Oryzias latipes: one gene and its partner. The protein of the gene in region 1 interacts with the protein of each later gene in a biochemical or structural test. Links are inferred from orthologs where the notes say so. Each region holds a gene or a part of one and is shown on either strand. Other genes may lie near its edges. The genes, in order: ibtk and btk.

Evidence for each region.
Region 2: the proteins of ibtk (region 1) and btk form a complex in vitro, tested with the Homo sapiens proteins (2 studies listed by BioGRID). The link is inferred for Oryzias latipes from reciprocal best matches to the Homo sapiens genes IBTK and BTK.

Annotation. Positions count from the first base shown.
Region 1 is NC_019874.2:4,295,301-4,302,202, forward strand, and holds part of ibtk (inhibitor of Bruton tyrosine kinase), read right to left. Parts: intron 6,665-6,902; coding exon 6,280-6,664; intron 6,102-6,279; coding exon 5,845-6,101; intron 5,763-5,844; coding exon 5,676-5,762; intron 5,591-5,675; coding exon 5,508-5,590; intron 3,891-5,507; coding exon 3,853-3,890; intron 3,761-3,852; coding exon 3,664-3,760; intron 3,586-3,663; coding exon 3,484-3,585; intron 2,597-3,483; coding exon 2,479-2,596; intron 1,943-2,478; coding exon 1,882-1,942; intron 911-1,881; coding exon 783-910; intron 499-782; coding exon 386-498; intron 310-385; coding exon 164-309; intron 9-163; coding exon 1-8. UniProt on the Homo sapiens protein: Acts as an inhibitor of BTK tyrosine kinase activity, thereby playing a role in B-cell development. Down-regulates BTK kinase activity, leading to interference with BTK-mediated calcium mobilization and NF-kappa-B-driven transcription.
Region 2 is NC_019868.2:8,311,265-8,317,377, forward strand, and holds the end of btk (tyrosine-protein kinase BTK), read right to left. Parts: intron 5,961-6,113; coding exon 5,906-5,960; intron 5,810-5,905; coding exon 5,730-5,809; intron 5,283-5,729; coding exon 5,155-5,282; intron 4,514-5,154; coding exon 4,442-4,513; intron 4,239-4,441; coding exon 4,067-4,238; intron 3,962-4,066; coding exon 3,742-3,961; intron 3,588-3,741; coding exon 3,523-3,587; intron 3,441-3,522; coding exon 3,322-3,440; intron 3,228-3,321; coding exon 3,070-3,227; intron 2,970-3,069; coding exon 2,898-2,969; 3' UTR 2,546-2,897; downstream 1-2,545. Other genes in the region: timm8a (mitochondrial import inner membrane translocase subunit Tim8 A), read right to left, coding at 140-301, 1,741-1,851. UniProt on the Homo sapiens protein: Non-receptor tyrosine kinase indispensable for B lymphocyte development, differentiation and signaling. Binding of antigen to the B-cell antigen receptor (BCR) triggers signaling that ultimately leads to B-cell activation.

The DNA of each region.
Region 1 (6,902 bases):
CCCTCCTCCTGCAACATACAGTCTTGAAAGTCTTAGTTGTGACAGGAAAGCACTGAGTTGATTTAACAATGCAACTAGTTAAATAATTACTACTAATTTTAAGGTGATATCCTACAACTGTTGTAGATGTGAGCAGAGAAAATAAATCAAAGGTGAAAATGACCTCCGTCCGGATATCAAAGACAGGTGACTGCATGTCTCTGGGACTGCCTGCTCCCATGCAGCTGCCGTCCGAGTCTGACGTCAGGAGCTCCTGCAGGGACTCTGTCGAGTTGGCCTTGGCCGACTTCACCAAGAGTGGAGACACAACTGCCTCAAAGGGACAGCACGACCGTCAAGTTGTGAGCTTTTATTTACCTACTAGCTTCCCTGTGTGGGACTTTACCCGCAGCAGGAGGGCTGTGGATGATATCAGAAAGGGTGTAACCTCCTGAACTGTCAGAGCGCCGCCTTGGTTTCTTTTTGGCTTTTATTTTGGCCTTTTTTAACACGATTTCCCTGAAAACGAGGAGACAAAACATACATTGGTACCGATTTCCCTTTGCAGGTTTTATCACAACACATTTATCAACAGTCTGATGCATCTGCTTTGTTTCCTGAAACCAGCCACTACAACAGCATCCCCCTAAAATAGAGATTCTGCAGTTCATTCATTAGTGCTTTGTGTTTTCCAGGTTGTAAGCAGAGACGTCTCCAGTATTTTACTCTGCTGTTTAAGTGGAGAATCTTCCACATCCATAAAGAAATAAATCCTTTTCAGCTTTGTAGAAAATAGGTCGTACCTGCATGACAGATCCAATTCTGTCTCCGGCTTGGTACCGAAGGCAGAGTCCAAATCCTCCTCCTCATACAGGCTGAGGTCTGGAGCATCAGGATAGGGAGTGATGACTCGCTTCTGCATCGCTGGGATCTAGAACCAGAACCACAACTCTGGGAAACTGAATCCACAGCACTTGAAAGTTTTGAAAGCATCTGGGTGGGAGTTTCATCCTCTACACCGGTGTTTCTCCACCTTTTTTTGAGCCAAGGCACACTTTTTCCCTGACAAAAATCCTGCGGCACACCAGCAACAAAAAAGGTGAATAATCAATAGTCACTATTGATGTCCGGTCTCTGCATGACCTCGCGTGCATTTTTTGTAATAATTAAAGCACAAAAAGATCTGAAGTTGCAGCTGTTTTTCCTAAAGGTTCCAATGGTTTCCAATAACGACTTAACTAAATTTGTCAAAATTTAGTTAGTTACGTTTAAATTTTGGGATGACTCAATTGTTTCAGTTTAGTTTAAATGTGTCCGTTGAACACTTCACTTTATTTTTTTTCTTATATTTAAACTTAAATTCAGGTTTTTCAAAGGTGAATAAAGTCTGAAAGTGAATTTGTTCTTCAAGACAGACGATATTAGAAAGCAGTTCTTTCTTTTATAAAGATGACTTGGGCCAAAAACACTGGAATCTCTGATTTTAACTCCTTTGTTTTCAACCACAAACCTTGAAGGAGAACTGGACTATTTTCCTGCTTTCATCAAGATTTGCAGACTGTTAGAACAGATGCTGGCTTTCACAGCAGCGCAGTAAGAGATGCTGTCACGTGAACCCAATGCATCATGGGAGTTGCAGTGAAATGCAGCTGATGCTGAACTGACTCACATCTCTGAGCCTTGTTATTTTATTCACTCCTTAAGCGCTCTGACACCGGATCCCACGGGAAGCTACTAGGGGTGCGTGGCTGATCCGTACGGATCACCAGCCCCGGTTCTGCACAGGTGTGTGCCGCGGATTCCCCCCTCCCTCCGCAAGCTTCATTAAAAATCAATTGTCTGTTGACATCAAACGCGGGTCGCGTATTCCGATTATGTCATTATTATTCAGATATGACTCACCAGCCTCCTGTAGGCTGCAGAAAGCTCCACTAGGACCTCGTCACTGAGAACATCCAGAGCTCTAAATGATAAAGAAAAGAAAAAATAGAGAAGAATCCAGATTTTAAACATATTCGATTTTGAAAGAGTTTAGGTGATTTGGGGCTTTTCGTTAAGGAACATTGCTGTTCCCATTTTATCATTAAGAAGAGAGAATCAAGTTTGTTTATCAACTAGTTATGCATTTACAGTCTTATAGATAATAAAGTTTCTCTTTCTATTATTGCTAAATAAAGTTTTTCAGTTCAGTAAATTTTGCTTAAAAGCCGATAACAGAAGTAAAAGAAAAAGCAAAGTGCAGCTAAACTCTGCCTCCTGCAGCTTTGCATCTCACACCAAACTTCTCCTGCTTCCAGTCTCACAGTCGTTCAGAAAACCTGAAGCTCCTTTCTGAGCTGCTTTGTTTATAACTTAAGATGGAAGTGGTCTAAAGTGGGAAGCAGCTAAAGTAAAATGCTTCCTGCGCTGGACTCTGCCGATTCATTCCCATCAGACTCCATTCACACACGCTGCAGCTGGGCTGGCCTTCCTGTCGATGAAATGCCGTCTGGTTCTCACTTTGACTCCAGCAGAGCAGCCATGTTGAGAGCGATGAACTGGAGACAGGATAGTTTGAGCTGCTCTGCGTTGTACATGGTGGCAAACTCCAGCAGCTCTGCAGCATTCTTTAAGGTCACTGGAAAAAGAAATAAAAAAACATAGACACATGTCAAAGGGAATCAGGGATTCTCTCTTTACTTTCACACAGATTGGTTTTACAAACGATGCTCATGTCACCCGTGAGAGATTTAGTAAGAAGATTAAATCTGTTTGCATTTAAAGTCCCACTCCAATCGTATTTTGAGCTATTTTTTAAAGTGTTCCCAGTTGTATTTTAATTAGGATTCTGTTATTTTTAGGCACAATCAAAATACCTGTCACTTTTTAAGACAAAGTTTCTGCAGAGCGGCAGCAGTCCATTAGAAAATCGCCACTGAATTGTGGACAAGACTGTTGGCTCAGGAACCTCCGCTGATTTCACAGCATGCCTTTGTTAACACAATGTCCTGCTAGCTTACAGCCCCTAACAACCCCAAGCTAACATTAACAGTGGAAAAAAAATGGCGAGCAATATAGGAGCTATCCAGCCAGACAGTTTTCATCCAGACTCAAGGTCAGATGGGGAAAATAAAGATGTACATGGAACTATTTGTCTGCAAGTAGATGCATCAGAATAGGAGCCTCTGGCCCGTCCGTTTCAGTTTCTACGTCACAACTGGGAGATTTTTCAAGCAACTTATTTTTCATCTGCAACGATTCAAATAAAGAAATACTCAGAAAAGCAAGTTTGATCTTAAATCCTTTAAATATGTCCTCCATCATGAGAAAAAAAGAAAAAATATGGAAAAAACCCACCAAAAACACGATTTTCATTGGTGTGGTTCTTTAAAAGCTTGTGAATATATTCAGTCTGCTGCTTTTCATCTTCAAATCCATTCAGTTTCTCCACTAAAAGGACATATTCCATTCACACCAAGAGCAAAGCGGTATCAGTCGGAGGAGGAAAAGATGAATACAACATACAGTTCTCTGTGATGACAACCTCACACATCTCCTTCAGCCTCGTGATGAGCAGCTGGTCAGCAACCACCAGCACGTTGCACACAAACTCCACATTCTGACACTCTGTTGGGGAAGGCGGGAAAAACTCTTAACTATCCCAAATGACAAATGATCACCTGGAATTTCAAAATGGGACTTTACCTTTAATGGTGGAGGACTCGTCAGTGTAAATGTACTCGAGAATGACCTGCAAAATCTCAGAGGTGGTCGGCATTTCCAGTGCTGAGCAGGAAGTTGCCTGAAAGGTGACAGAGGTGCAACCGAGTATGAAGCAGAAAATGCCGACAATGGCAACAGGCTTGGAATGCAGCGGTAAAAACATGAGCCTACCTCGATCCATGAGCTCCCAAGCATACTGCTGAAGTATTCTGCAGAAAACACAAGCTCGTTCCGTCACGGTTTCAAAAGATTCAAATGGTTTCAAAAATGTAACAAATACACTACAGACCAAACATTTGGACACACCTTCTCATTCTCATTATTTTCATGACTATGAAAATTGTAGATTCACAATGAAGGCATCAAAACTGTGAATTAACACATGTGGAATTATATATATAACAAAAAAGTGTAAAACAACTGAAAATATTTCATATTGTAGGTTCTTCAAAGTAGCTTTTGCTTTGATTACTGCTTTGCACACTCTTGGCATTCTCCTGATGAGCTTCAAGTGGTAGTCAACTGAAATTTGTATCATGGCAAGAAAAAAGCAGCTAAGTACAGAAAAACGAGTGACCATCATTACTTTAAGAAATGAAGGTCAGTCAGTCCGAAAATTGGAAAAGCTTTGAAAGTGTGTCCAAGGGCAGTCACAAAAACCATCAAGCGCTACAAAGAAACTGGCTCACATGCGGACCGCCCCAGGAAAGGAAGACCAAGAGTCACCTCTGCTGCAGAGGATAAGTTCATCCGAGTCACCAGCCTCAGAAATGGCAGGTTAACAGCAGCTCAGATTAGAGAGCAGGTCAATGGCACACAGAGTTCTAGCAGCAGACACATCTCTACAACAACTGTTACAAGGAGACTGTGTGAATCAGGCCTGCATGGTAGAATATCTGCTAGGAAACCACTGCTAAAGAAAGGCAACAAGCAGAAGAGACTTGTTTGGGCTAAAGAACACAAGGAATGGACATGAGACCAGTGGAAATCTGTGCTTTGGTCTGATGAGTCCAAATTAGAGATTTTTAGTTCCAACCACCGTGTCTTTGTGTGATGCAGAAAAGGTGAACGGATGGACTCTACATGCCTGGTTCCCACCGTGAAGCATGGAGGAGGAGGTGTGATGGTGTGGGGGTGCTTTGCTGGTGACACTGTTGGGGATTTATTCCAAATTGAAGGCGTACTGAACCAGCATGGCTACCACACCATTTTGCTGGACCATCATTTATTTTTCAACAGGACAATGACCCCAAACAGACCTCCAGGCTGTGTAAGAGCTATTTGACCAAGAAGGAGAGTGATGGGGGGCTGCGCCAGATGACCTGGCCTCCACAGTCACCGGACCTGAACCCAATGGAGATGGTTTGGGGTGAGCTGGACCGCAGAGTGAAGGCAAAAGGGCCAACAAGTGCTAAGCATCTCTGGGAACTCCTTTAAGACTGGTGGAGACCATTTCAGGTGACTTGAAGAGAATGCCAAGAGTGTGCAAAGCAGTAATCAAAGCAAATGGTGGCTACTATGAAGAACCTACAATATGACATAATTTCAGTTGTTTCATACTTTATGTATATAATTCCACATGTGTTAATTCATAGTTTTGATGCCTTTAGTGTGAATCTACAATGAAAACAAAGAAAACTCTTTGAATGAGAAGATTTGTCTAAACTTTTGGTCTGTACTGTATGCCAGAAAATACAAATAAAAATCTACTCATTTGGTCAAAAATATATACGGTAATATTTTAGTGATGTAACTATGTTAGAAGAAAACTGAAATAATTGTCACATTTATGATATGAATAAAAAAGGCTTTCTTATGGATTCTACCAAGTCGTGCACAGAGAACAGATTTGTGACATGGAAACTCCTTCCCATCTTCAGATTTCAGAGTGACATCACACAGATAAGAGCTGCAAACAGAGACACACAAAATTATGTCAACAGATGTCTTAAGATAAAAACGAACCAAAAACCACTAATAATTCATCAACACACCCTTTTTTCTGGTAGAATTTAGGTTTACTGCCGCTCTTCTTCTGCACAACAGAAATCCTTCCATTTTCATACCTGACGCCATCCAGTCTGCAGGAACCGAAAAAGATGTTAGAAAGGAACCATCAGTTCTTTCTGCAGCATGCTAGGAGCAGAAAAGACAGCCTCTTACCGTGCTGACAGGCTCCCCAGGCCCAGCTTTTTAGCAACAGCCTGTAAGCTTTTGACAGGGTTAGCCCCGCCCTCATTGGCTCCAGTCTTGTCCCCTTTGCCTCCTTTGGCCTTTTTGCCCACCTTGAGGCCCTTGTTCTTGGCCTTGTTGTTGTCCTCTTTGGTGGATGGGGAAAGGGAACGATAGACTTCAAGAGCCGAACGATCTCTCAGACCCAAAACCTGCAGACTGCTGATAAGCCTCCCCTGCTCTGAATCCTAGCCAAGCACACACAGTCGCAATCAATGATGAGTCAGAGGTGACAGGTCTTCCAGGGTAATGCAAGCTCAGTCACACATGGTTATCACAGCATTTAGTCCCTCTGAATTTCATTTCGTATGTGTTTACAAGTAGAATATTAAAGACGTTTGATATTTTATGTGAAAAATAAGCAACCTGGTTTTGTGCAGTCGGGACTCCTGAGGCTCTGGGCCGAGCCCCGTGCACCAGCAGCTCACAGGAGTCTGTGTACATGAAGCGCAGCGCGTATTCCAGCATGTCTGCGGGGATTTTTTCCAAAATGAGCAAATCACAGCCCACTGCATCTTCGCTCCTTCTGACTTCTTTATCGAGCTCCTCTTCATTTCCGCGGTGATCAGTCATAAACAGCTTCCTGAAGAAGTCTGATCTCATGGACAGGATGTACTTGTGAGCCGAGAAGGTGCGATTGCCAGCTTGCAGAGTCACGTCGTGGATGTTGTCAGTTTCATCTGCCTCCTCCAGAAGGCTCTGGAAGTGTTGGGAGAAGGTGGATGGAGAGATGCTGGGAACCTCGAAAAGGCTGGAAGTTAGGAAAAACAAAGATAAAACATTTATTAGATCGATTTCAGGTTAAACAAAGAAAAATTCCCAATCACATGCAATTAACAATGTAAGCTATAAGCAGACTGCTTGCAGACAAAAAAGTTGTATTTAGATGCTAAAAGCGTTTGCACAAAAACAACACTAAAAACAAAAACAGTTTAGGCTCATCAGGCATGAGGATAACTTTTTTTATCCTGAACTGCTTTGGATTTGGA
Region 2 (6,113 bases), on another chromosome or scaffold:
GTGTTAGTCTCAGGCACTTTTGACAGAAATAAACCCTAAAGTTCTCCTTCTTTCTTAGTTGTGAGATCCATCAGGGTCAACAGCTTCACTCAGAAGCTGCAGATGTGCGTGAACCTCCTCGTCCTTTCAGCGACACATTTTATTCTAACATGCTGTCCGAGAACCCGCCCTTGCCCCTCTGAGTCTGTTCCAATCTGTTGAGAATAAACTGGCTGGTGTCTATGAATCGCTCCACGCAGTTCACAAAACACGATTCCGTCCTGGAGTCTAGTTTGGGCCCAGGTTTGTCCATGCACTTTTCCTGGAGACACACAACATACATGTTAAGAATAAAGAAAGACTTTTTAAGCTGTATTACCACCACTAACTGTAAGGCATAGTGCCTTTAAGAATTTATATATGTACCTTCAACAAAACAGAATTTTGTCTGATTATTTATAAGTGTACACACAACGCTCAACTATACAATTGTAGGGATTGTTACGGAACACAATTTTTTATTTTATGACTGAAAACGATGTTTTAGCTTGGGCTGATAGGTCGTAATGACCATTATTGCATTTGAATGGATTAATGTCAGCTTTTAAAGCAAAAAAGTGTAAGACACCAACAACATGAAGTCATCAACATATGGAACTAGCCGTCTACAGGTGGATGCATCAAAATAGAGTATAATTCTAGCTTGCCGATTGTAGCTTCTATGTCACAAATACAAGCTTTTTCCAACTGCAATTTTTTGTTTGCTCCAGATTCCCAATGATTAAAAAAAAAAAAAACACTCAAAAATGCAATTTCAAGCTTAATAAATTTTCCTTTATGGTTTTCCATTGTCATCAGAAAAACACCACAAGAACGTGTTAAAAACACAGTTCTCATCAGAGTGACCAATTCAAAATAAGATATATTTTAGGACAGTCCTTTCCTAGTATTGCGAGAATCCTCGAACCATCCTAGCTAGGGGTGGGCCGATATAGTTTTCCCCTGCAGCTGTGGCCAATAGCTGAAATGTGCCAATATCTAAGAGTCTATAGTTACACAAATTTAGATTTCCTTTTTGTTTCTAAAATAGAAATGCACAACTTTTCCTTTACTGGACAAACACATTGTACTACACCTTTTTGACATACAGCAAAGGATCTGATAGGAACAAGTATCATTTTAAAACTTTTATATAAATATATCTGCAAGGATTCAGACCATTTATTGACTAATGGGCATAACTGTAAACCATAAGCTCCCCATTGCCAGGGATGAACGTCACATACTTGATTAAACCGTAATTAACATCGATATACATATATAATCAATATACATGACTATAAATTAGTAATATATCAATGGTAATTAAATATCGTTTGACTAACAACGTCTAAATGGTAGTTCAAGACATATACCTGTTTTTTTTTATATACGTCCACTTCCGGTTAAATAAGATAAACAATGTTCTCCACAAGAAATTAACTCTTGTTTTATTTGGGGCTTTTTGTTACAAGCAGAGAACAATAAAGCTTTATCAAAACAACATCTGAACCTGGAAAACGTGCACGGCGATGACGTTCTCTCCGAGTTCACAAACGGACCGGTATTTGCCTAAAACGCGGGATCACGTTAGGTTATACACAAACACCAAAGGTCAACATCTAAAATAAACCTTTAAACAAAACTTCACAAACGTTTCCTGCTTCTGTTTTATTGCTGTTTTAGATGCAAACGGGTGCGCTGTCGAAAAGCTCTGCTTACCCAGCAAACCTCCGTCATTTGATGCACAAGCTGCTGAAACCTCTGCTTCTGAGACTCGATTTCGATGAAATGTTGAAGCTGAGGGTCAGCGGTTGCTCCTTGCCCGTCCATAGTTTCTTCAAATATGTTGTTGTAGCTCTATTCTTTATATTAATTATAGAAATATGTTGCCGAGTTTGCTGACCTTCACGTGTGTGAATGAACGACGGGAAGCCGGAAGTGATTCAGCCAATCACACAACGCGTTTGTGGGGCCGCATACGTAAGCGGTCAACGTTTATATATTGCTAAATTTCATATTCACAAAATTAAATTTGCTAACAAAAAAACAGGATTCTTCTTACTGAAATTTGAACTGTAGCAATATTCAAATTGATCCCGCTTCAATAAATAAAAAGGCTCAAAAAACGGTTAACATCTCAAAGTCTTTTGTATGACACAAGTTAACTCACGCATTTCTATTTTTATTTACGTATTTATTTCCGTATGTGATTGATTTATTTGGTTATTATTGATCACCAATTTCTCTAAAAATTTATATTACTTATAATTTTGTTCTCAATAGTTAATAATTTCAAAAGATCAAAACAATGTTGTTTTGTAGTTAGAACTGCGTTTTATTCTTGTATTGTTATAAATGTTGAATTTTGCATTATATTCTGCAAATGTTCAAATAAACAATATTTAAAATTTATGAAAATTGCTGCAAAACATCATGTTATACAAAAATGTAAACAGTGAAGTTATGTTTAGATTTGGATAATATTAAACCAAAAGAGACCGTTTTAAACACAAAACCCCAAACATTTGAAAGCCTAGCATACTTGGCTTTATTTGTGCAAAACATAAGCTTACACTGCATTAAAAAAACAAATCGAACTAAATGTTGTCTACATTCCAGACAGACTTACACTCAAAGGAAAAGATAATAGTTGTCAGAGATAAGTGGAAATATGGACAGTCCAGCTGAATGCATTTTTACAAATAAAATGTAAAAGCAAGTGAGTAATTGTGATATTTTGACAGTCAAATATTCACATTACAGAGGATATTTGTATGGTCTTTGAGCCCTGTATTCAAACTGGTAACAGTTTTTATGATTGTGTTTATCTTCCAGGAACAGACAGAGATGCTGCGCTGTGGAGGTGGGTCTGAGGTCTACTGGAGCTCATACAGAAGATCCTGGACAATCAGCACCAGGTCTTGAAAGGTGGGCCTTTCGTCTGGTTTCTAAGTGTAAAGCAAAGAGCAACATTTCTAATAATACTGAAATGATTTTTCGTTTCGAATTCTTTGCGGGAGTTAAAATAAAATTCGACGGCTCACTTACATCATGCCAGCAGCTTGTCATAATTTTGTAGACTCTTTCGTTGGCCAGCTGAGGGCGGTAGAGACGGAAGCCATGTGAAACCTGGTCCACAATTTCTGAGTTGTTGAGGCGTTCATATGGAAGTCTACCCAAAGTGTACACCTCCCACATCAGCACCCCTGATAAAGAGCGAGCAGTAAGCATGTTATAGCACAATGTGGCTCAGTCGACAGTGACCAAGAACTAATAAGCAGTTTGTGTTAAACCTCCCACCGTAAGCCCAGATGTCTGACTTGCTGCTGAATTTGCTGTAGAGGAGGACTTCAGGGGGAGACCATCGAACTGGGAACTTTGAGCCAACAGAACTTGTGTACTCATCATCTAAAACGTATCTGATGACATTGAAAAGGGGTTTCATTGTTTTTGCTTTGACTCGTGTCCCGTTTGTGCATCAGAAACCAGGAAGGGTTTTACCTTGATAGACCAAAGTCAGTCACTTTGACTGTGCCATTTGCATCTACTAAGCAGTTCCTGGCAGCCTGCAGATAAAACAGTGCCCTTGATTCAAGGATAATCATTAAATGTAGCAGTGTTATCTTGTAAACTCAAACTGCTGGTTATCTTGACACAGTGTGGGAATGCTGCTAGGTGTTTTTTTTTTCCACTCAGAAACAGTAGATCTTTGTCTCTCACCAGGTCTCTGTGGATATACTGCTGTGACTCGAGGTAGGCCATGCCCTCAGATACATCCTTACACATCTCCAAGAGCTGGTCGGCAGTTGGGTGCTGGATCAGGCCTTCCTTGAGATATGTCAGCAGACACCCATTTGCAAGAAACTCAGTCACGATATAAATAGGTCTCTGCTTGGTGCAGACACCGTACAGCTGCACCAGGTTCTCATGGCGAAGCTTCCTGGTTTGAGCAAAAAGAGAAGGAAGTTCATTTGGTTTTTCTCAGAGGTTTTGAAAACTACATTCACCACCTGGATGTTCCTTGACGGGGTTTAGCTGTGCTTACATCATGATTTTGGCTTCCTCAATGAAATCATCTTCTGACATGGAGCCCTCTTTAATCATCTTGATGGCTACGTCGTGCTGGCCCTGCCATTTCCCATACTTCACCACTCCAAACTGGCCCGTGCCGAGCTCTTTGATGAAGGTGAGGTAGTGGGGGTCAATCTCCCACACGCCTGGAGGAAATAGAAGTTCAGATTAAATAGGTCCTTTTGTGATTGCAGGCTTTTTTACCCCCACACAAGAACTTAAACTTAAACTCTAATCGAACCCTCCGAGGATCTTTGGCACTTAAATTGCTCGCAAAGAAATAAATAGTTGATTCATCATCAAATGTTAAAAAAAAAGGATTTAGAGTCTGCTACAGATATACTCTTACCATAGCCGAGTCCTGCCGTTGACGGAGGTCGCGCCCGATTAGACACAATATGCTTCAGCCTGCAAACCATACCTGGAGATAAGAAAAGCAGCTGAAACCTCCTCACTTAGGTTGACAGTTTGATAGCAACGGTGACAGATGCATGGAGGACAGTAGTTTGCTGTACTGCCATTAGGTTTAAAAATAGGTAAAAGGAACGCCGCAGGAAACGTGGCACATTATCGAACCAAATCTGCATTTTTTAATGTGTTTTGTAACTTTCATCAAGTCCAATACCCAATCATGCAGCTTTCAACTTGTGCCTTCTTATATATAATTCAGTGGTCTTTTTTGTTTTGTTCACAAGGATGGTTTATTTAATATTCCCACTAACCACTGCAGTCTTTTAATGTAAAATGTGGTCTTCTTCATTTGCTTCTTTTTTTTTTTTTACAAAAATTTGTTTTTTCATGCTGTTTTGTTTTAAGCCCATTTCAGTCTGTGGTGTTAACATATAGAATGAACTGGTGTCAGTGGACTCAAAAGAAATTCAAAATTCTAATCGCAATCATAATGAAGTTTTAGTCAAGATTATTTATTTCTGCTGATATTTTGGTAAAGGTTTCTCAGGGTTTCCCGCTGTTGAGTAATTTCCTGTTAGCATGAGCTGGCTCTATTTATACTGTTTTGCATACTGGTCTACAGGGCTCCATCTGTGCCGTGGCGGGACTGACCGGCGGCATTGTGCTGATGATAGTTGATGAGCTCTGGGATGGTGTCAAAGTTGTGCTTCTCTGACAGATAAAACTGGCCCTGTGGGGTTGTGCAGATGTTGTAATGTCTGCAGCTTCCACCTGTTTCCCTGTAGAGAAAAAAAAAAGTGAAATCGAGTGCCAGCAGATCCAGCTGAAGGGTAGTCATCCACATCGTATCTTAGTGTCCACATCTTCTTATTCTTATAACTGTTATTTTATTATTTTATGTGCTGCTTGCACTGTGGGGTGAGAGTGCCCACAGTGCTGGGCTGTATGTCTTGTGTATGCAGAATATTTGACAATAAAGCTAACTTTGACTTTGACTTTGACAGTAACTATATTACAGTTTATCCTCAGAGTAAACCACAGTACAGATCAGCTTAAATAGTAAGATTAGCCCAAATTTGGCATAAAAAGATTTACATCTTTCTCTCTGCGACCAGCCGTTTCCGCTTTCATTTTGCACAGTTCTTCTTTTCATAAGTTTACACATGACTGACGCCAAAGGAGCAACCATAAAAAAATGGTGGCAGTGTTTCCACAAGTTTACTCACGCGCCACTCTTGGCAAATAAAGATACGGTGTATTTCCCAGCTTTGCTTGAGTCCCGCACCAAGAAACCGCCGTCTTTGTTCTGAAAGTGAACATTTTAAGAGTTTCAGAAAAAAAGTTCTGGTTCTAGTTCGGAAGGAAACAAAAAAAACATGCTGTAGTCGCAGCATTTATTTACCTCAGACTTTAACAGCTGTTCTGCTTGACTGCGGTTCATGTTCTTGCAGTACCAACTGTCGAAAACAACAGAACTGTCTTTTTCTTACTGCTTTTTACCTCCAGAATTCATGAAATTGGCAATTAAATACATCTGTGCCAATCTGATACAACGCATAAACATTTATCATTTTAAATTAAACATTTGAAAGTCTTAGAAACAGAACATA